Linked DNA regions of Xenopus tropicalis. The protein of the gene in region 1 purifies or fractionates together with the protein of each later gene. This does not show direct contact. Links are inferred from orthologs where the notes say so. Each region holds a gene or a part of one and is shown in the gene's direction. Other genes may lie near its edges.

Region 1 (7,520 bases):
TTCCAAAGAAATGGCCCGGCCACACCTTGAATGCATAATAAATAGGTTTCCTTATTATTGACTGGAAAGATGGCAACTGGACTGCAGCCAGAAGCAAATTCAGAACTTACACAACATACTCAGATACTACACGTTGGGCAAACAGTTGCCCTACTCACAGCATAGGCATGTAGCTGTGCGTGTCAGGTGCAGATTTCATATGTTGACTGATTAATTGATTTTTTATTTTTAATATCAGCCTCAGGCAGTAGATAGCTGGGTCACTTACTTTGTACACTGTTTTTCAAATTATTCACAGACAGCCACAACAATATGTTCCCTAAGACAAAAGTTACCCTAAAGGTGGCCATACACTCACTGATATTATTGTATGAACCAATAATTGGTACTTGTATGGCAAGAGATGAGGCAACTGATACTGGCAAAGGGCTTGGATAACGCCCGTCTCGTCGACTGGCCTTTGCACTGGCAAACGTTTAGAGCTGAATCATCAGATAGGGGTAGAATCAGGGAAGGCCTTAGGCCAGTTGGACCTATTGGGCTCAATAAGGTCACGCATCCATGGGGACCCACACCAGGGAAATAAGCACATATAGCTTAACAATGATTGCCTTATAATGCTGCTATGTGTTCTGGGACATTAAACACAAAGTTGGCACTGCATTCATGCTGCTACCCCAGGGTACGCACTGTCTGTCACTGCGTATAGTGTGCCTGAGGGGTCAATAATCGCTGTCTCACACTGTATATAGTGTGCTTGGTGTGTCAGTGCCCAATGCTTGGGGGCCACATTGTGCCATGAAATGTTGGGGGGCCAATGGAACAAGAGAAACATAGGTGAAAATGTAGAGTTACATCATCAGTCACATTTGCCCACCCAATCCTGGAACCCTGTGCAAGCTGGCGACACCTTGTTTTGGGGGCCCTGCCAAAATGGTCCAAAATCTGTCTTCGGGGCTGAATCGGCAGAAGGAGGTAGAAATCCTATTGTTTCTACCACCTTATCTGCCGTTTCAGCCCTGAACGGTTAGTGGCGCATTGTACGATCTTTCGTGCGACTGGTGGTCGACCGAAAGATCTAAAATCGCCACGTGTGTGGCCACCTTTAGCCAGTCCTCATTCCCTGATGATTTGGTGCCCAAGAGGTTCTGCAGCAACGCTTGCCTTATCTTTCGGTGCCAGTGCTGACCCATATACGTAATACTCTAACGCCAGTACAGGTATGGGATCCCTTATCCGGAAACCCGTTATCCATAAACTCTGAATTGAGGAAAGCCCGTCTCTCATAGACTCCATTTTAATCAAATAATTCAAAATTTTAAAACTGATTTCCTTTCTCTCCTTGTAATTGATCCCAACTAAGATATAATTACCCCTTATTGGGGGCAGAACAGCCCTATTGGGTTTATTTAATGGTTAAATGATTCCCTTTTCTCTGTAATAATAAAACAGTACCTGTACTTGATCCCAACTAAGATATAATTACCCCTTATTGAAGGCAGAACAGCCCTATTGGGTTTATTTAATGGTTAAATGATTCCCTTTTCTCTGTAATAATAAAACAGAACCTGTACTTGATCCCAACTAAGATATAATTACCCCTTATTGGGGTAGAACAGTCCTATTGGGTTTATTTCATGGTTAAATGATTCCCTTTTCTCTGTAGTAATAAAACAGTACCTGTACTTGATCCCAACTAAGATATAATTACCCCTTATTGGGGCAGAACAGTCCTATTGGGTTTATTTAATGGTTAAATGATTCCCTTTTCTCTGTAATAATAAAACAGTACCTGTACTTGATCCCAACTAAGATATAATTACCCCTTATTGGGGCAGAACAGCCCTATTGGGTTTATTTAATGGTTAAATGATTCCCTTTTCTCTGTAATAATAAAACAGTACCTGTACTTGATCCCAACTAAGATATAATTACCCCTTATTGGGGGCAGAACAGCCCTATTGAGTTTATTTAATGGTTAAATGATTCCCTTTTCTCTGTAATAATAAAACAGTACCTGTACTTGATCCCAACTAAGATATAATTACCCCTTATTGAAGGCAGAACAGCCCTATTGGGTTTATTTAATGGTTAAATGATTCCCTTTTCTCTGTAATAATAAAACAGAACCTGTACTTGATCCCAACTAAGATATAATTACCCCTTATTGGGGCAGAACAGTCCTATTGGGTTTATTTCATGGTTAAATGATTCCCTTTTCTCTGTAGTAATAAAACAGTACCTGTACTTGATCCCAACTAAGATATAATTACCCCTTATTGGGGCAGAACAGTCCTATTGGGTTTATTTAATGGTTAAATGATTCCCTTTTCTCTGTAATAATAAAACAGTACCTGTACTTGATCCCAACTAAGATATACTTACCCCTTATTGGGGGCAGAACAGCCCTATTGGGTTTAATTAATGTTTTACTGATTTTAAAGATCCCTTATCTGGAATACCCTTGGTCCGGAGCATTCTGGATAATGGGTCCTATACCTGTACTACTCTCTCTGTAGCCCACCATATCCAGGGCTAAGAATTATAGTGCAACACCAGGCTATTTGTATGTGTCACTTGGTATCAGTGAATCCCCCCTGGGATGGAAGCTGCTCACTGGGAGTCGCTGAGGCTGCTGGGAGTTTCTGTGTGAGTGCAGCAGGCAGATAAGCGGCACAGAGAGTCTCCCCCGGGGATAAGCAAATGAGCAGCGGGGGTGTGGGGATTTCCTCCCTGGGGGACACAGCGAGAGTTACACTGAGAGCTGCCACACTGCTCCTCTCCCTGGCACTGGCGGGGTTAATAGAATCTCCTGCTTTTCTTGTTGTTTCTCATCATTTCCAGGAAGAGCCGTGCCGCCGCTCATGGAACCTCCCCGTTTTGGACTTTCCAGCCCTCAGTTCAGCAAGCGGCACAGTCGGAACATGGGAGCCGTGTGAGGCAGCGGCGGAGCCGGGACAGCCATGCCCGGGCACAAAGGTAGGAATGGGGCTGCGGCTGGCACTGTGGGGATGGCAGGGAGGACTCCTACACAACTCACAGAGACACCAGTTTCCATGGTAACGTTCTTCTCACTGGGTGCCAAGCTAATATATATGTTCTGAAGCTTTAGATACTGAGTTGCCCTTATGCCCACTATGGCCAGGCTGGATGAAATGGCTACTGTACAGGGGGGCACATATATTTTCTGTCAAAGTGGAGGCCAGTGGGGTAGTATTTTGGGGGGCCCTCACTGCCTGTAATGAGCTGCACCCCCAGCTGCTCCCTCACCCCCTGCACTCACTTGCATTAGGCAACACAGGGTGGCAGGGGTGCAAGGGGGAATGGTGGGGTTCCAGGCCCCCCAGTCCTGCCTTTACAGAGTCTGTTGTATGGTGTTAACAAAAAACATTTAACAAAAGACAAATCTATCAGTGTAGGCACCCAGCTCTCTGCAGTCTCTGACCAGTGGAATCAGTCATGTGCACTGGAGCTGCTGGAACAGTTCTGTTTTTGTTCCAACCTTTCTCCACCCAACAGGCTGTTGGATTAGTAAATGGTACTTTCTAAAGTGATTAATGTAGCTCCTTTATGTAGCTCTGCTCTATCAATGCAGAAGGAACGCTGAGTAGCTACGTGGGGTGCTATAACAGTTAGGAATCGTAAGAGACCATCTTTATATCCGTGTCCTTCTAATAGCTGCTGGGTCTGGCTTCAGACCTGCTTGATCCTGTATATTGTACTGATGGTTGCAGTTTGAACCCACACATAAACCCCCTGTGCATTCAGTGGGAGGGGGATGAGGATAAGAGCTTGTACAGGTATAGGACCCGTTATCCAGAATGCTCGGGACCAAGGGTATTCCGGATAAGGGGCCTTTCCGTAATTTGGAAAATTTGGAAAAAATCAACAAAACATTAATTAAACCCAATTGGATTGTTTTGTATCCAATAAGGATTATTTATATCTTAGTTGGGATCAATTACAAGGTACTGTTTTATTAATACAGAGAAAAAAGAAATCAGTTATAAAATTCTGAAATATTTAATTAAAATGGAGTCCATGGGAGACAGGCTTTCTGTAATTCGGAGCTTTCTGGATAACGGGTTTCCGGATAAGGGATCCCATAATTGTATTCTATTGTATATTATACCTGGTGTAAACCAAAGATCCCATGCATACCCTCAGTCCTAAGCTGAGCTCTGTATGTGCATTAATATGTGCCCCACCACAATACACTGAGTTACCTAGCAATGTCAGAAGTAATGCAAGTTGGGTTGGTACCATTTTTGGACAGTGTGAAATATGTTATTTCTGCAGCCTCATACACCTAACCTTTAGTGGTTCCCAAACTGTGGGCTGCCCCCCCCAGGTGGCTCAGGGTCTTGCCCGGGGACCCAGGGTGAAGGACAGTTAGGGTGAGTTTTAGTGTGTGCTTATTTGCTATGTTAGATATTCTAGAATTTATGGCTGATTTAGCAATCTTTTCATATGTCTGTGGCCTTGTAATGAGCTAAGGGTGCCCTGGATTGATGATGCACTCTAACGAGGGGTTTGAACTGAATAATGCTGAAAACCACTTCTCTTGGACCATGTGCACTTTTATTCTAGGATGGTGCCTGTTTATCCACCTGTTCTAGGCTCAGAGGTTACGTGACGCCATTTATAGATGCACATTCCTTGTATCTTGCTTGCCCAAACATTGCTCTTTTGCTGCTCAGTAGGTGGCCCGTGCTCAGAAGGTGGCTCAAAGGCATTAAAGTGCAAAATACTCAAACAAATGAGAGTAACAGGTTATATACTGCGGGGTACAAGGTTAAGGCCCCATGACTGTCAGCCTGCCAGTTTATACCCAGGCTAACAATCTGCCCTACTGCACTGTAAATAAACAAATTGCAATTGCAAGTCTACTGGTTCTGACTTTAGGAACAATGTGGCAGAAGATGGCCAGACATACAGTTTCAATAAAATGTATATAACATTAAAACTATTGAAAATATGTAATGAATGTGTATTGGAAAGTATTACATTTTCTAGTTTATTTTTGGATTTTCCCCTCCCCTTTAATCTTTGTTATTTTCTTTGGAAGTATGAGTGTTGGAAACTGGGAAAGTCCTTGTTTTCTGCTTCCCTGGTGCAGTTCTTTGTCTGCGCCGATCCTTGTAGGGCTGGATGGAAAGTAAATAACTTGCATATTTTCGTTTCACTATAATGCAAGTGCTGAGATATTTATAGTGATTTCCTCAGTGGTTAAGCCCCTGGTCTGTCACATGTCTTTTGGTCTGATAAAGCATGAGTTCAGTCCATCGGGCAATCCCTTGTTGCATTGGTCAATACAGTTTGTCTGTGTTTATATATGATAAGTGGCTGTTTGTATTAGAAACAGTGCATACTGTGTGTGCGTGCTTGAGATTGTTATGGCTCAGCTGCAGTAAGTATTGCCATGTGGAAGCCATGAAGCTATCACTTCTGGATCATAAGACCTTCCATTCAAACGTATCATGTGAGCTTATTGTTTGTACATTTAGGGGTGTACCAATACACACAGTAGAGGTGGTGACAGGCCCAAGTGAGGCCTTTATTTAAAGGAGAAAGAAAGTTGAAATTAGGGGTGCCAAATATTAGCCACCCCCAGTCATTAATCACTTACCTGATACCTCAGTGCTCCTGTTAGCAGAAAACTGCACTGAGCTGGGGTACTTCTGTGGGAATACCACTCAGGGACCTTCTTCGGAATCTTCTCACCAGGCACGCATGTGCAGTAGAGTGAAAAACTTAAACTTTAAAGGAGAACTAAACCTTGAAAATCTCAGTCGCAGCAATAATGCAGGACTTCAAACTTGTCACTTGGAAAGTATTTGCTATACTCACATGCTCAGTGGGCTCTGGCCAGTTGTTGAGAAGCTAAGCTTAAGGTGGCCATACACGTGAAGATCCGCTTGCTTGTCGAGTTCGCCAAGCGAGAGGATCTTCACCCGGTATCCCCACCTACGGGTGGGCAATATCAGGGAACATGTAGGTTAATTTGATCGTTTGGCCCCAATAGCGGCAATGGGGCAGTCGATTCCGGGACCTCATCAATGAGCCGATGGGGTCACCGATCTGACTACATCTTTTAACTTGCCAGATCGATATCTGGCCAATTTGGCCTGTGTATGGCCACCTTTAGGGGTAGATGCAAATTATGAAGCAGAGAATGAGGTTGGCCTGTCATATAAGCTGATGCTACAGGGCTGATTATTAAATTATAAAGCTAATTATCTGTATTTATTACTAATCAGACATATATAGTGACATTTATATTCTATATATACAGTATATTGTATATATCCCGGCCGACTCCTTCGTTCCTCGCAGAGCAATCGTTTGGTTGCGCCCCCCACTACTACTGCGGTTTCCCGCCTTAAACCTTTCTGCCTGGCTGCCCCCTACATTTGGAATGCCCTCCCCGATTTCCTCCGGAGAGAATCCTCCCCCAGTCTTTTTAAAACTAAGGTTAAAGACTACCTTTTGGAGCACTCGCCCATCACCTGATCTGGGAACTGGCACTTATATTGTAATGTCACCCACTGTGACCTACAGCACTTATATTTGCCTATTTGTGTCTGTTAGTTACCCCTCCCATATAGATTGTAAGCTCTACGGGGCAGGGACCTCCTTCCTCTTGTGTCCTTGACTCTTAACTTATTGCTGCTGTATATATCTGTATTTATTATTATACTTTGTATTTATCTATTATCTTATTAACACCGTTTGTATTAATGTATTCTACTGTACAGCGCTGCGTACATAAGTAGCGCTTTATAAATAAAGATATACATACATACATACATACATATTGTGAGCGGGTCCCTAAGCTCAGGTAAGTGCCAGCAGCACAGAGCAGGGAATCAGCAGAAAAGAAGATGGGGGGCTACTGGGGGCATCTTTGGGGGCACAGATCTTCCCTGCTAAAGGGCTGTGGTTGCCTTGGGCTGGTACGGAATCACAAAAAATAATGTACAACATTTCTACCCTACTTCTTTAGTTAGGCTTTAGTTCTCCTTTAAGCAAGAACCCAGCCTTTTCACTCTGCTGTGCATGTGTTGGCGTAGGGCAACAGAAAAATGGATTGCTCTGTGGTGCTTGCACAGAAACACCCAGGTTGGTACAGTTTTTACGCTAACAGGAGCACTGGCCCTGGGTATTGGATAAGCTAATAAAATCACTGGGGAGCACCTAACATTGGGCATGCCCTGGTGATTTTAACTTTCCTTCTTTTTTAGTGCTTGCCAAGCAGGTGGTAATTACAGGGCATCGCAGAACCTTGTTTTATATTGGCTTGTACCCTATGAAGCTATGGGCATTCCAGGGGATGTCTGTATACCATGTTCCACCCCTCTGTATATAGGGTTTTTGAGGAAAGGAAGCACTGCATATAGAGAGAAGAGCAAGTCTTTGTGCTCCAATGTGCAAGGTGCAATGTTCAAAAAACATGTTTTTTTTTTCCTATACTTTGAACTTCCTTCCCATTCATAAATGAGCTCATATGTGTGCCAAAG
Region 2 (7,786 bases), on another chromosome or scaffold:
AGCCCTTTGTAAACAATTTTTTTAACACAATCTGCATAATCGGCAGGCTAGAACACTTAGGGCCAGATTCATCAAATCACGAGTTTGAATCCTGAAATGGGTAAAACTTGGATTGGATACGATAATTTCTGATGATCGCAAATATCACGAAAATGCTTACAAAAAATCGGGATAGTCATGATAATATCGTATTGGCGATCCGGAAGTCACAAAATTTTTGTACCGAACGATTGTAAACAGCGGGAAAACCTTTCCAACTTCTGTGCATGATTTTGGAAGCCTCCCATAGGGCTCAATGGCACTCTGCAGCTCCAACCTGGCCCAAGGAAAGTCTCCCATAGGGCTCAATGGCACTCTGCAGCTCCAACCTGGCCCAAGGAAAGTCTCCCATAGGGCTCAAAGGCACTCTGCAGCTCCAACCTGGCCCAAGGAAAGTCTCCCATAGGGCTCAATGGCACTCTGCAGCTCCAACCTGGCCCAAGGAAAGTCTCCCATAGGGCTCAATGGCACTCTGCAGCTCCAACCTGGCCCAAGGAAAGTCTCCCATAGGGCTCAATGGCACTCTGCAGCTCCAACCTGGCCCAAGGAAAGTCTCCCATAGGGCTCAATGGCACTCTGCAGCTCCAACCCGGCCCAAGGAAAGTCTCCCATAGGGCTCAATGGCACTCTGCAGCTCCAACCTGGCCCAAGGAAAGTCTCCCATAGGACTCAATGGCACTCTGCAGCTCCTACCCGGCCCAAGGAAAGTCTCCCATAGGAGTCAATGGCACTCTGCAGCTCCAACCCGGCCCAAGGAAAGTCTCCCATAGGAGTCAATGGCACTCTGCATCTCCAACCTGGCCCAAGGAAAGTCTCCCATAGGGCTCAATGGCACTCTGCAGCTCCAACCTGGCCCAAGGAAAGTCTCCCATAGGACTCAATGGCACTCTGCAGCTCCAACCTGGCCCAAGGAAAGTCTCCCATAGGACTCAATGGCACTCTGCAGCTCCAACCTGGCCCAAGGAAAGTTACGATACCGAAGCTTGAATGAATCCGAAACTTTCGTACTCGGCATGACAATACGATTTTGTCGCACAAATTTTGTCGCAAGGTACGAAATTGTTGCGCAAGGTACAAAATTGTCGCAGAAAATACGCTCAGAGCATTCATGCATTAATAAATGTCCCCCTTAGCCTTATTGAACTTGAATGGTTGCCCCAATGGCAACACAGTGCCTTAATTTTGTAACTTCTGAAGTAAACACACCAGTACTAAATAGCACTACTTTATAATGAAATACATACAATACCTCTAAATATTTTGTTGTTATTGTTCCTGTATGAGATGATTGGTAGCTCATAGAGACAAATGGAGGAACCTTCAATTGCACTAGATTTTACATCTGTATCATTTGAAACTGATAAGAAGATTCTAAATTATGCACAGGCAGAGTATTGTCTGTGTGTACCATACTCTGCCTGCCTTACACTACCCTGCCTGTGTGTGCCATACTCTGTCTGCCCTATGCTAGGTACTGTACATACAGTGACACAATGCTGGCACTGCTCCTACAGTCTGAGGTGTGAACAGGTGAACAATGTGGGGGCTTACAGTCTGGCCCTGAGGTGTGAACAATGCAGGAGATGAACAATGCAGGGATTTTAATGTGTGAACAGTACAGGGGATTACATGTTTAAACAATACAGGGGTTTACAGCCTGAATCTCAGGTGTGAGGGGCAGTTAATCTCAGTACCGATACCATTTAAAGCTTACACAAAGGTAAGCAGCCAGACAGGTGGGGGGCCACACAGAGGGGGCTGCGGGACGCCAGTTGGACAGCTCTGCTTTAGGATATCTCTGGCACTAAGATTACTGTATCAATTTGAGTGCATACATTGGCAGGTGGCTCAAGATGGCCATACACGCACCGATAATATTGTACGAAACATAGTTTCATATGATATTCGGTGCGTGTATGGCAAGTCGGCGAGTCGACCGATATCGCAGGAAGCTGCTGATATCGGTCGACTCGCCGATCGGCCAGGTTAAAAGATTTTGATCGGGCGCCTGAGCAAAATCTGCCGTCAGGGCTGAATCGGCAGGAGGTAGAAATCCTATTGTTTCTACCTCCTTATCTGCCGTTTCAGCCCTGAACGTTAGTGGCGGATTTAACGATCTTTCGTGCGACCGATGGTCGCACGAAAGATCACAAATCGCCACGTGTGTGGCCACCTTAACTTTTTCGAGGAGGGACCCACCGACCAAAGAAAACTTACAGTAGAGAAAACATTGGGACTTAGGGTGAAGATACACGGGGCGATAAGTCGCTACAACTTTTAATTAAGACACTAAAGCATTTTCGCTGCACGGATTAGTCACCACGACTACTAATTGCCCCTTGTATCTTCACCCTTAAAGCCATAAAACTTGCTCTACTGTGCATGTTAGCGGATCTCTGGTGTGTTGGAAGATTCCGGATGGCAGGAACCATACCCCTGGCCAGTGTACATTTATATTAATTATTTATATATACCCCCCCCCCCCCCCCCCCCCGGAAAAAAAAAATCACATTACTTTTCATTTATATATTTAATGCTACACAGCAACTAAAGCAGTTTAAAGTTTGTTTTAAATACTAGGAAAAGGTGTGTGGCCCGTACGGGGATCGAACCCGCGACCTTGGCGTTATTAGCACCACGCTCTAACCAACTGAGCTAACCGGCCACCTTACATAAGGCGCAAAACACAGCGCAATAAAAGAGTAAATCTCTATATATTTGTTATTTTACCAATAAAATAATTGTAGTACAAGGGGTGCCATATATTATATTATACAGGCCTGTATTTCATACATTATTCAGAGGAAATGCCCAGTGAGTAAGAGAATATGTATATGAGTTAAACATGTGTGCACCCTGTCCCTCTATAGATGTACAGAGGCCACATGTTTGCTGCCCGGCACATTTAGTCACTCATGGGCTACAGCGCACATACGCATCGTAGCGCTAAAGCAGCAGCGCTACATTAGCCAAGTACAAACTACGCAGCTGAAAGCAGAACCAATGGGAGTTCGCAGTGTAGCGCTAAGGCTCTTACATTGGCCGAGCCCCTAAACCCACTAAGGAATAATGCCCGAAACCTAAGGCATGCGTTCCATGGAGCCAGACTGCTCTCCTCACTTTTGAGAGAATACTAAAGAGTAATAATCGCAGAACGTCCCTTTTGTTGCCCCCACACCCGGGTCAGTGGAGGCTACAATGCAACAACCGCACAATGGACATTTCCGACAACAGTCAGGAAATTGGGTAGAAGATAGAAATTGAGGCGAATTAGACTCCTAATTAGAGATTTGATAGCTTTATGTCTCCTAATAACCATGTGTATAAAATGGCTCCCAACACGATGCCATCAACCTGACAAACTTTTTTTCCCGACTACAACAACAAAACAAACTTTTTGTTTGCGCGTCATGAAAAGCAATGTACTTTTCACTCGTCCCTTAAGTCGCCCGCCCCCTTCTTCCATTGACTCCACCCTTTTATTGCTACGTATATGCGTCTGTACGGTAATAACTTCTACAGGTCTCACTTATTGGACAAAACTCTAGGGCAAAGCCTAAACCTGTGAACTTAGCGCATGCGCATTTGCCAGGGCGTTCCTCGCCTTACGTCATTTGGGTATTTCCGCAGACTATGCCAGGGATTGTCTAGCAATGTGTAGCAATGTGTAGAAGGGGCGGATATCTGTTAGGGAAGGAAGAAGAAGAGGGATAGTGAAACAGTGGAGTGGAGAAGTAAAGAGTACTGGTGGCGAATATATCTTATACATTTCTGGAACTGCAAGGGCAGCTAGCCCCTGTAAAAGGCCAGCATTGGACATGGAGGGTAAGAATTATTCCGGAATCGCGAATTTCCCCCGTTTTCGTATTAGTACCGACCGGCCTAGTGGCGTTTAGCTGCCGTGCGTTTGTACGCGGCTCTGATCGCCCAATAGTCATAAACGCGCGGGAGGCTGGCTCATGTTTCCTTATTTAATCAATCTCAGTACGGACGTGTGTGACGATACGGGGGGGCCAGTGCTTAAAGATTTTGGGTTACTTTGTTCATGGATTGGGAATGGGTTCCGCTAGACTCACAGCACCGGGATCGCTAATGTACAGCCTGTGTCCCTACAGCAGCCTACAGATTCTAGGCTAAGTTTCAGAAAACATTTATTGCTTAAATGCTTTGTTAAAGCTCTCAGTCTTATATCTGAAATTTCCATGCACTGATTATAACCAATAACATCACATATTGCCTTTATATTTTGAATAATGTGCAACCTGTTGTAAAATATAAGGCTGTTTTAAGTCCCTGAGTTCCATAGAATTCATACTTACAATATACAAGTTTCAGTGAATCATGTAATACAAATGACATCACTAAGCATTGATTATAACTGATGACATCACTGACCACCATATGGATATAATACACGAGCCATGAATATCCTGTAAATAATATCCTTATAAACTGAGCATAGTGCTGTCATGTTTTAGGCACCCCTCAGTGATTATAATTTCTCACCTGATAACCTGCTGGTGCTCCTGTTAGCAGAAAACTGCACCGGCCTTGGGTACTTCTGTATGAGTGTTTTCTCACAGTCTTTATTGCTTCTTCCTTCCTATTGACAGGTGTACATGCACAGTAGAGTGATAAGTTGAACTTTAAGCAAAAAGTCAACTTTTTCACTCGCCTGCACTGGTCAGGGGCAGTGGTGTAAAGAAGAAGCAAAAGATCACTACATGGCACCTTAAAGTATGGTGATCCGAATTATAGAAAGACCACTTATCTGGAAAACTCTTGAGCATTCTGGATAACAGGTCCCATACCTACTGGTTTAGGGGGAACTAAATCCTAAAAATGAATTTGATTAGAAATGCCATATTTTATATAGTGAACTTATTGAACGTTCCTGGAATCTGTTAGAAGTGTCTGTGACACTCACATGCTCAGGCTTAGGGGACGTAGCAAATTATTAAGCAGAAAATTAGGTTGAGCTGAACTATAAGCTTATGCTGCAGGGCTAATTATTCATTTATGATGCTAATTGCACTGGCTGCAGAGCTGATAAGCACACATTATCAGAAATATTTCCAATCAGCCTAGTATTGGGACATTTATATTCAATATATACAGTATATTGTGAGTCAGTCCCTAAGCTCAGGTAAGTGACAGCAGCACAGAGCATGGGCAGCGAATCAGCAGAAAATAAGATGGGGGCTAATGGGGACATTTTTGGGGGGCACAGATTTTCCTTGCTAAAGGGCTGTGGTTGCCTTGGGCTGGTACAGAAGCCCCAAATATAATGTACAAATGTTTTAGCCTACTACTTTAGTTAAGCTGTAGTTCTTCTTTAAAAAGGGAACATATATCCATTATTATATTCAAACACACACTTCAGAAAGCAGCTCCACCCAAAACATTTTTTTTAACAATGTAACAGAATTTAATTCTAAACAACCTTTTAGTATACCTTACATAAAAACTGGCAATTGTTTTAAAGTTATTTTATTGCTATTTGAAGTATTATCTGTTTATATTCTCTGCACTACTGGAGTCAACTTATGAGACAGTGTAGCAAAAGCCTGCTGATTAACAGACACGGAGGGGAACTAACTTCCAGGGCTGTCAACTCCAGGAGAGTGTCTCCCAGGGGATCATTGTGGTGCACAGAACGCGCTGCCGATGTCCTATAGGCAGGTGGTGTTTGACATCATCCCGCACAGTGTCAGACTGGCCCACCAGGATTCCAGGGAAACTCCCGGTGGGCCCAGGTGTCAGTGGGCCCTCCTGCTCCTGGCCATTTGGTCTACTTTGTGGCCATTCCCTATTTTTGAATGGGAACAAAGGGGAGAAATAGATGGAGAAATAGATGCTAGCATGTTAATAAAAGAGACTAGGAGAATAATGAGGTTGATTGAGCAAAGGGGGGAAAAATAGTTTGGAGAGTGGGCCTATGATTTAAGGTTTCCTGGTGGGCCCCTGGGGTCCCAGTCCCTCACTGATTGCACATGCGCAAAATTCATGTGACATCATGGAATGCTCAATGTGCCTGTGCATTTTGGGAGGTATTAAAGGCCATCTTGAGACTGGGGGCTAGGCTGCATTTTCGGGACACTCGCGATTAATCCAGGGGACTTGACTGCTCTGGACTTCTGCTTCATTGTGTCAAGAATCAGAACCAGAGAATAAAAGGCTAAACAAACATTTCTTTCAGTAGTAATTACAATTAAAGTAACTTTGCACTGAGTTGACTCCAATTAGTTTTGGAAAAAAGTGATTTACTTTTTCCAGCTATAACTCTGTCTAGTTTAATTCTGATTTGACTAGTCTGACTACAGCTGCAGTTCTACTACAAGGTTTCATTGTTGAAAAAAGTGCAGATTGTTGCCATTTTGGTCAGAATGACAGAAAGTGTATCTTCGGAATTTTTGAGAACTGTATCGCCTAAGGATTGACCTATGTTGGACAATACACCACAAAACAAAAATACTCAAGGCAAAAAAAATATTCAGTTTTTTAAGGGTGATGGCACATGTGAAGATTAGCCACCTGTTTAAAATCTGGTCTCCAGTGGGCAACTAATCTCTTGAAAAGGCTTTCCCACCAGCAGAAATGTAAATCGCTGGTTGGAAAAACATGTATATATATTGCTTTGGTTCTGAAGTAGTCCAGAGTTTTGTTTTCCCACTGGCTATTTACATTATTGCCAGATTAGCATTTTCTACTGTCCTATAAACATTAAACACAAAAAGATGCTGCGTCTAAACTCAACTGCAATAACTATTATTTGGGGTATACAACATAGAATACTATTGTAATTTTGAAAACCCGTTGAAAACTTCTCTGTACAAATATTTATCTTAGGGGTTTACACTTCTGAAAATATTAAAGCTTGCTTATATGCAGGCTGACAGCAGAATAATAGTTGGTAATGGTTTGTGGACATTGTTAAAAAAGAAAATGTATCACTGCTAGAGTAATATCCAATAATGGGATATTGGACCTTAAATTGCTCAGCAAAGGTGTGTGTAGTGATCATATCCCGTAGAAAATGAAACATTCTATAAGTTAGTGGTGCCTACATTGTCTCCCGGTACCTCACAGGCTAATAATTACAAAGAGGCCCCCACAAAGGTTTTTATTTGCTAACAACTGCAGCATCAGCTGTTTTGACCTTATCCTTATCTGTAGGTGTGTCTAGCTAGTGCTACCACTAGATTGTGAATCAGTAGTAGATGAGTCACTTTTTCACACAGAGGGGACCATGCAAAAATGTTTATGCCTTTTCAAGTGAATACAGGCTTTTAGTTGTCAAAAACAAAAAAACATAAACTTCAGGCTGACGGAGAAAAAGAATGGTTGGCCATGAGCCTTAACCTCACATAACCTGTTCTTGTGTTCTTTGCTTGGAACGGTTTTTGTATAGATGGCTCTGTGTGTCATAATGCATTCTTTCAGTTGCCTTGGATGTCTTGCCACAATATATGAAGCACCAAGGAAACATCCTTTGGAGTTTCTTTAATGTTACATAATGACAAGCACCCTGTTTGAACTCATGGGGCAGTGATGGGCACACCTCAGCACCAGAATTCTTATTTGGGCAGTCTTTACATGAGGGTCTGTCACAGCTTTCTTTGCATCAACTAGGCCAGTTGTCATTGTATAACATAAGGATCAGTAAAAGGGAACAAAGGGTCTGTTTTGGCTTCCACTGTTCCCCATCAGTTTGAACAGTGCGTAGCATCTTTGTTTTTGGACATGA
Region 3 (7,468 bases), on another chromosome or scaffold:
ATGCCCATATACATTGCTCATGTGCAGTAACCCATAGCACCCAATTAGCAGGTAGCATTTCCTGGTCACCTGTTTAAAAGCAAATATCTTATTGGTGGCTCTAGGTTACTGCTCCTGGGCAAACTTAGTGCATTTTATTACATATGGGGGTTTGAGTGCTATGTGTGTCTGTTATAGATTTTTAATAATGCCCATATACATTGCTCATGTGCAGTAACCCATAGCACCCAATTAGCAGGTAGCATTTCCTGGGTTTGAGTGCTATGTGTGTCTGTTATAGATTTGCCTCATTCCTATCTCACAAGAATTGCAACTACTAAAATAGTTTTCTAGGTATTTTACTGATTTATTTACCAAACAAGAAAAAAAATGTGGGGTGTGGGGGAGCTACCATGTAACCGAATGGAGTTTGGGGGGGGGCGTTGGTGTGACTGTACACCTTGAATTTCTGAAGAGGTTGGAGATTGTTGTGTTTGTCTGTGTCCATACGTATGTTATACACATAATGTTATATATTCTGTAATTTATGTGGACATTGTGTGCGCGACCCTCAAATAAGTCTATTAAACCTGCATAGTTTCCCACCAGACTAGTATCCAGTATCAACCAATCAGCAGGTAGCATTCATTTGTCGCCTGTTTGAAAGAATTATCTAATTGGTTTGAATGAGTTATTAGAACCGTTGCCCCTTTCTGACTATAACCCATACAAATGATTCTAATTTTCCTTCCTTACACGCATTAATGTCAACGAGTTCCCAGCATACAGCTAAAGAAGTCAGACACCCCTCCCCAGGGAATTCCACAGGGCACCTATGGTAATGGGACTCTTCTGCACTGGCACAGACATCATATTATTGCCTCATCTCTTTATAGAGGTCCGGATTAAAGTCTAGCAGATCTCTGTGCCTGTGGGTGTTCTGTTTCCGCTCGGCTCTGTACTCTTCCAGGCTGCTTGTGTCACAACTGATGTCAGCATTTTGGAAGTTTTAGTGCCATGTAGGGAAATCAGGGTAAAAAAGAACTGAGGCTCAGTGCTGACATCTTGTGGGCAGTCTGACAAATGCACCCAGCAATCAACAAAGACCTATAAAAAAAAATTAATTGTCTTTAGTTGAAAGAATCCAAGGGTTTGGTCAAATCTATGTCTCAGATTAAATCTTGGTACAATCTATGCATTCCCTCTATCTATTACCTAATGCTTGGGGGGCTGCAGTCCTGAATTTGATTTTCTGAATGTATTGTGAATGTGATATTAATCTTAGACTGCAAGCTCCACCGGGGCAGGGATTGATGTGAATGATGCCTAATCTCTGTAAAGTGCTGCATGATGGCACTATATAAAGGATAACTATTCTATGTTTTATTTTTATATGGTGCCAACTAATCACCTAGAGCTGGTTCATTATATCAGCCCCTGCCCCAGTAGAATTTATGGTCTAATTTCACATTCACACAGCAAGCACAATGGGACCCATTTAATCCAAAGCTAATTAACTGTCACGTGTCTAAATATCTATGCCATATTTAAATGCTCCGTGGGAAGGGGGCCTAGACCGCAGGGTCTGCTTCCTCTATCTATATATCTATAGGTCTAAGAAGCCCCCCTCCCCAGCCACTCTCTTACCTACTTAGCACAAGTGGCAGGGGAGCGGGGGACACAGGCCGTTGGGTGGAGGGAGGACCAGCTAGGTGCACACCTGGCCCCTCTGATGATTATCTATTGGCCTGTCTATCCATCATCTATCTATTCACTGGCATACCTATCTATTGGCCTGTCTGTCATCTATCTATCCACTGGCATATCTATCTATTGGCCTATCTGCCAACTATCTATCCACTGGCATATCTATCTATTGGCCTGTCTGCCAACTATCTACCCACTGGAATATCTATCTATTGGCCTATCTGCCAACTATCTATCCACTGGCATATCTATCTATTGGCCTGTCTGTCATCTATCTACCCACTGGCATATCTATCTATTGGCCTGTCTGTCATCTATCTACCCACGGGCATATCTATCTATTGGCCTATCTGCCAACTATCTATCCACTGGTATATCTATCTATTGGCCTATCTGTCATCTATCTATTGGCCTATCTGCCAACTATATATCCACTGGTATATCTATCTATTGGCCTATCTGCCAACTATCTATCCACTGGCATATCTATCTATTGGCCTCTCTGCCAACTATCTATCCACTGGCATATCTATCTATTGGCCTCTCTGCCAACTATCTATCCACTGGCATATCTATCTATTGGCCTGTCTGTCATCTATCTACCCACGGGCATATCTATCTATTGGCCTATCTGCCAACTATCTATCCACTGGTATATCTATCTATTGGCCTATCTGTCATCTATCTATTGGCCTATCTGCCAACTATCTATCCACTGGTATATCTATCTATTGGCCTATCTGCCAACTATCTATCCACTGGCATATCTATCTATTGGCCTCTCTGCCAACTATCTATCCACTGGCATATCTATTGGCCTCTCTGCCAACTATCTACCCACTGGCATATCTATCTATTGGCCTGTCTGTCATCTATGTACCCACTGGCATATCTATCTACTAGTCTATAATTCCCATTATATACCTATCTACCCCCTTCCATATTTAGCTATGTATGGCTCTGTCTATGTACTTCCAAATTCCTTACTTATCAGTGTGCCCTTCTCTCTACCCTATCCCCTGCTCTCTATCTGTAAATAGCAACACTAATACAGATGCCGGAGTGCGCAGGCGCAAGGCAGTCCCTCCGCTGAGTGAAGCAATGGAGGCCACTGGCAGAGGGAAGCGGCTGGATGTTCCGAGCAGGGTCGCAGTCAGATTCCCCGGGCAGCTTGGGAGCCACTCCCGGCATGCAGGGAAGAGCCGGGCTGCCCTTGGGGAGAGCGGAGGGTATTTCTCTGTGTGAGACCCGGAGCCCTACTAGTAGTAAAAGTACTAGAAAACTCCGCTGGTGAGAGGGAATTTCCAAGCCCCGCCTTCCGGTGTATAATAGCGCCATGCAGCCTGCCTGCCTCACTCACACGGACTGCTATGTACTGACTGCGCAGCCAGCTGTGCTCTGATTAGCGCCCCAGCCCGGATTGCTTGCGCCTGAGAGTGCTGATTGCCCCTTGGTACAATGTCCTCTATCAGTGATGGCAGCACAGATGCGCTGGTGGCCAGGTTCAAGGTGCTGGAAGAAACCGTGGATAAACTGCACAGGGAAAACAGGACACTGAAGAAAAAGGTGCAGAGCTACCATGTCCTCAACTCTTTCTATCATGAAGCCAAACAGGAGGTGAGCAGCCTCAAACAGAAACTCACTGCCAAGGAAAGTCTCATCCAGAAGCTGATGGCCAGCCAGGCTGCCCTGGGCACCGAGCCTCCGCCGCACGTCTCCTCCTCCAGGTCCTTAGTGGAGAGCTTGATGGACCAGTTGGCTTTAATGAAGAGCAGACTGAAGGAGACGGAGAGGACATGTGAGGAGAAGGTGGAATCCTTGAGCCAGGTAGCTATGCCCTCTGTGCATCTACTGGGACCTGTAGTGCCCACTATGGGCATGTCCAGCCTGCAGAACCACAGTGCCCGCTATGGGCATGTCCAGCTGCAGAACCACAGTGCCCGCTATGGGCATGTCCAGCCTGCAGAACCACAGTGCCCGCTATGGGCATGTCCAGCCTGCAGAACCACAGTGCCCGCTATGGGCTTGTCCAGCCTGCAGAACCACAGTGCCCGCTATGGACATGTCCAGCTGCAGAACCACAGTGCCCGCTATGGGCTTGTCCAGCCTGCAGAACCACAGTTCCCGCTATGGACATGTCCAGCTGCAGAACCACAGTGCTTACCATGGGCTTGTCCAGCTGCAGAACCACAGTGCCCGCTATGGGCTTGTCCAGCTGCAGAACCACAGTGCCCACTATGGGCTTGTCCAGCTGCAGAACCACAGTGCCCACTATGGGCTTGTCCAGCTGCAGAACCACAGTGCCCACTATGGGCTTGTCCAGCCTGCAGAACCACAGTGCCCGCTATGGGTTTGTCCAGCTGCAGAACCACAGTGCCCACTATGGGCTTGTCCAGCTGCAGAACCACAGTGCCCACTATGGGCTTGTCCAGCTGCAGAACCACAGTGCCCACTATGGGCTTGTCCAGCTGCAGAACCACAGTGCCCACTATGGGCTTGTCCAGCTGCAGAACCACAGTTCCCGCTATGGACATGTCCAGCTGCAGAACCACAGTGCTTACCATGGGCTTGTCCAGCTGCAGAACCACAGTGCCCGCTATGGGCTTGTCCAGCTGCAGAACCACAGTGCCCACCAGGGCTCAGGGGTGCTTGGGGTTCGTATTGGAGAACTGCTGGTTGGACCCCTTCGTTTACAGTGTTGTTACCTGCTGTCTTTTTTAACCTTGCTTCAGCCATGCAGAATTTTGAGGATATTTTACCCAGACAATAAGCCTGGCTTTGGTTTAAAGGGAATGTGATAGGCTGGGTATTCCCAGCAGCATTGTGCCCCTCAGATGTAAGTGACAGGGCTAGATGGTGTAGGTATTACGTGTTGTTAATATACTATAATCTCCTATCCCATCCCCTGGCTGTGCTCAGCAGGATGAACTATGTGACTATGCAGCATACGTACATTATAATATGTCAGCCTTATATGCGTGTAGCAGTTTTCAGTTCTGAACTCTGAGGGTGAAGACACACGGAGCTACTAGTAGCAGCTACTTGTCATGGCTACAAAATTAGACAATGCTGATCATTTACCAATAATTGTCTCTATATGTGTTTTAGCAGAGGCAATTCTCAGTATTGTCTATGGCAGGGGATTTTCTGGTGTTTAATTGCAATGACAAGTATCTGCTACTAATTAGCTCTGTGTGTCTTCACCCTAAGACATATTGTCCCAGGGAATTGTGGCTTCCAGAAGATCAGTTGATTTCTTAGAAGCAGTTTGGGAATATTTGTATCTTTCATTTTTACTTTCTGTTTGAGTAGCTCTTATATAGATCATTAATGTAAATCACTGTAATTAAACCCGTACGTGCTTTCCCAGGAGTCTCAGCCTCTCTATCCCGTAGTGTAGTCTCTCAGTACTTACTGTCTCCTCAAATAATAGTCATATTTTTAGTTCTATATTGTCATTCTTATATATTTACTGTACCATTCAGGGCACCCCTATTTTCTATTTATATATCCATTCATTTGATTTATTTTGGGCTCATGTGACTCACAGCTGAAGTATTTAGTATTTAGAGGGCACATGAGTGATATAAGGGAAACCTACTCATCGTAACTCGTGATAGACACAGCTGACAGGAATTTTTTTGGCAGTTATACAATGTTATTCCAGTTTGTCATACAAGCATTTTCCAACCAAAACAGCAGTTGTAAGTAGAAGAGAGTGGGAAGCTCAGTAGCAAAACACATATCAACATATGAACTGTACAGGCAGCACAGCACCTTCAGTAGCAGTTGGATAATAGCCTCTGGGAAGGGACTGTGGCTGTGGGATAGCAGGTATAGTAGGGAGAGATGGTGTCTATAGTAGCAGTGGGATAATAGCCTCTGGGAAGGGACTGGGGCTGTGGGATAGCAGGTATAGTAGGGAGAGATGGTGCCTATAGTGGCAGTGGGGGGATAATAGCCTCTGGGAAAGGACTGGGGCCGTGGGATAGCAGGTATAGTAGGGAGAGATGGTGCCTATAGTAGCAGTGGGGGGATAATAGCCTCTGGGAAAGGACTGGGGCCGTGGGATAGCAGGTATAGTAGGGAGAGATGGTGCCTATAGTAGCAGTGGGGGGATAATAGCCTCTGGGAAAGGACTGGGGCCGTGGGATAGCAGGTATAGTAGGGAGAGAGGTGCCTATAGTAGCAGTGGGGGGATAATAGCCTCTGGGAAAGGACTGGGGCCGTGGGATAGCAGGTATAGTAGGGAGAGATGGTGCCTATAGTAGCAGTGGGGGGATAATAGCCTCTGGGAAAGGACTGGGGCCGTGGGATAGCAGGTATAGTAGGGAGAGATGGTGCCTATAGTAGCAGTGGGGGGATAATAGCCTCTGGGAAGGGACTGGGGCTGTGGGATAGCAGGTATAGTAGGGAGAGATGGTGCCTATAGTAGCAGTGGGGGGATAATAGCCTCTGGGAAGGGACTGGGGCTGTGGGATAGCAGGTATAGTAGGGAGAGATGGTGCCTATAGTAGCAGTGGGGGGATAATAGCCTCTGGGAAGGGACTGGGGCTGTGGGATAGCAGGTATAGTAGGGAGAGATGGTGCCTATAGTAGCAGTGGGGGGATAATAGCCTCTGGGAAGGGACTGGGGCTGTGGGATAGCAGGTATAGTAGGGAGAGATGGTGCCTATAGTAGCAGTGGGGGGATAATAGCCTCTGGGAAGGGACTGGGGCTGTGGGATAGCAGGTATAGTAGGGAGAGAGGTGCCTATAGTAGCAGTGGGGGGATAATAGCCTCTGGGAAGGGACTGGGGCTGTGGGATAGCAGGTATAGTAGGGAGAGATGGTGCCTATAGTAGCAGTGGGGAGATAGTAGCCTCTGGGAAGGGACTGGGGCTGTGGGATAGCAGGTATAGTAGGGAGAGATGGTGCCTATAGTAGCAGTGGGGGGATAATAGCCTCTGGGAAGGGACTGGGGCTGTGGGATAGCAGGTATAGTAGGGAGAGATGGTGCCTATAGTAGCAGTGGGGGGATAATAGCCTCTGGGAAGGGACTGGGGCTGTGGGATAGCAGGTATAGTAGGGAGAGATGGTGCCTATAGTAGCAGTGGGGGGATAATAGCCTCTGGGAAGGGACTGGGGCTGTGGGATAGCAGGTATAGTAGGGAGAGATGGTGCCTATAGTAGCAGTGGAGGGATAATAGCCTCTGGGAAGGGACTGGGGCTGTGGGATAGCAGGTATAGTAGGGAGAGATGGTGCCTATAGTAGCAGTGGGGGGATAATAGCCTCTGGGAAGGGACTGGGGCTGTGGGATAGCAGGTATAGTAGGGAGAGATGGTACCTAGTGGGATGATAGCCTTTGGGCAGGGATCCCCAACCTTTCTTACTCGTGAGCCACAGTCGAATGTAAAAAGACTTGGGGAGCAACACAAGCACCATAAAAGTTCATGGAGGTGCCAAATAAGGGCTGTGATTGGCTATTAGGAAGCCTCTATGCACACTATCAGCTTACAGGGGCTTTATTTGGTAGTAAATCTTGTTTTTATTTAACCAAAGCTTGTTATGTTTATGTTTGAGCTTTTACCTACTATTGTTCCATTTCAGTGGTTTTTCCTAGTTGATTGGGTCATTGACTGTACTAATCAGAAGTTTACCCACTCTGCTAGAGAACTGCAAAAAAAACATAATTTCAGAACTACTGCAAAATGTTATATAATTATATAAGGCAGTAAACTAAGAATTACACTTGAGAATCCAAACCAGACAGTCTGTATTGTTCCAGGATAGAAACCCAAG

What was found.
Region 2: the proteins of map3k8 (region 1) and rela purify together in Homo sapiens (affinity purification with mass spectrometry; 5 studies listed by BioGRID and IntAct, with this or other methods). This does not show direct contact. The link is inferred for Xenopus tropicalis from reciprocal best matches to the Homo sapiens genes MAP3K8 and RELA.
Region 3: the proteins of map3k8 (region 1) and tnip2 purify together in Homo sapiens (affinity purification with mass spectrometry; 3 studies listed by BioGRID and IntAct, with this or other methods). This does not show direct contact. The link is inferred for Xenopus tropicalis from reciprocal best matches to the Homo sapiens genes MAP3K8 and TNIP2.

What each region holds. Positions count from the first base shown.
Region 1 is NC_030682.2:23,822,167-23,829,686, forward strand, and holds the start of map3k8 (mitogen-activated protein kinase kinase kinase 8), read left to right. Parts: upstream 1-2,621; 5' UTR 2,622-2,963; coding exon 2,964-2,979; intron 2,980-7,520.
Region 2 is NC_030680.2:38,454,365-38,462,150, forward strand, and holds the start of rela (transcription factor p65), read left to right. Parts: upstream 1-3,686; 5' UTR 3,687-3,857; coding exon 3,858-3,864; intron 3,865-7,786. UniProt on the Homo sapiens protein: NF-kappa-B is a pleiotropic transcription factor present in almost all cell types and is the endpoint of a series of signal transduction events that are initiated by a vast array of stimuli related to many biological processes such as inflammation, immunity, differentiation, cell growth, tumorigenesis and apoptosis.
Region 3 is NC_030677.2:21,862,463-21,869,930, reverse strand, and holds the start of tnip2 (TNFAIP3-interacting protein 2), read left to right. Parts: upstream 1-2,765; 5' UTR 2,766-3,144; coding exon 3,145-3,513; intron 3,514-7,468. UniProt on the Homo sapiens protein: Inhibits NF-kappa-B activation by blocking the interaction of RIPK1 with its downstream effector NEMO/IKBKG.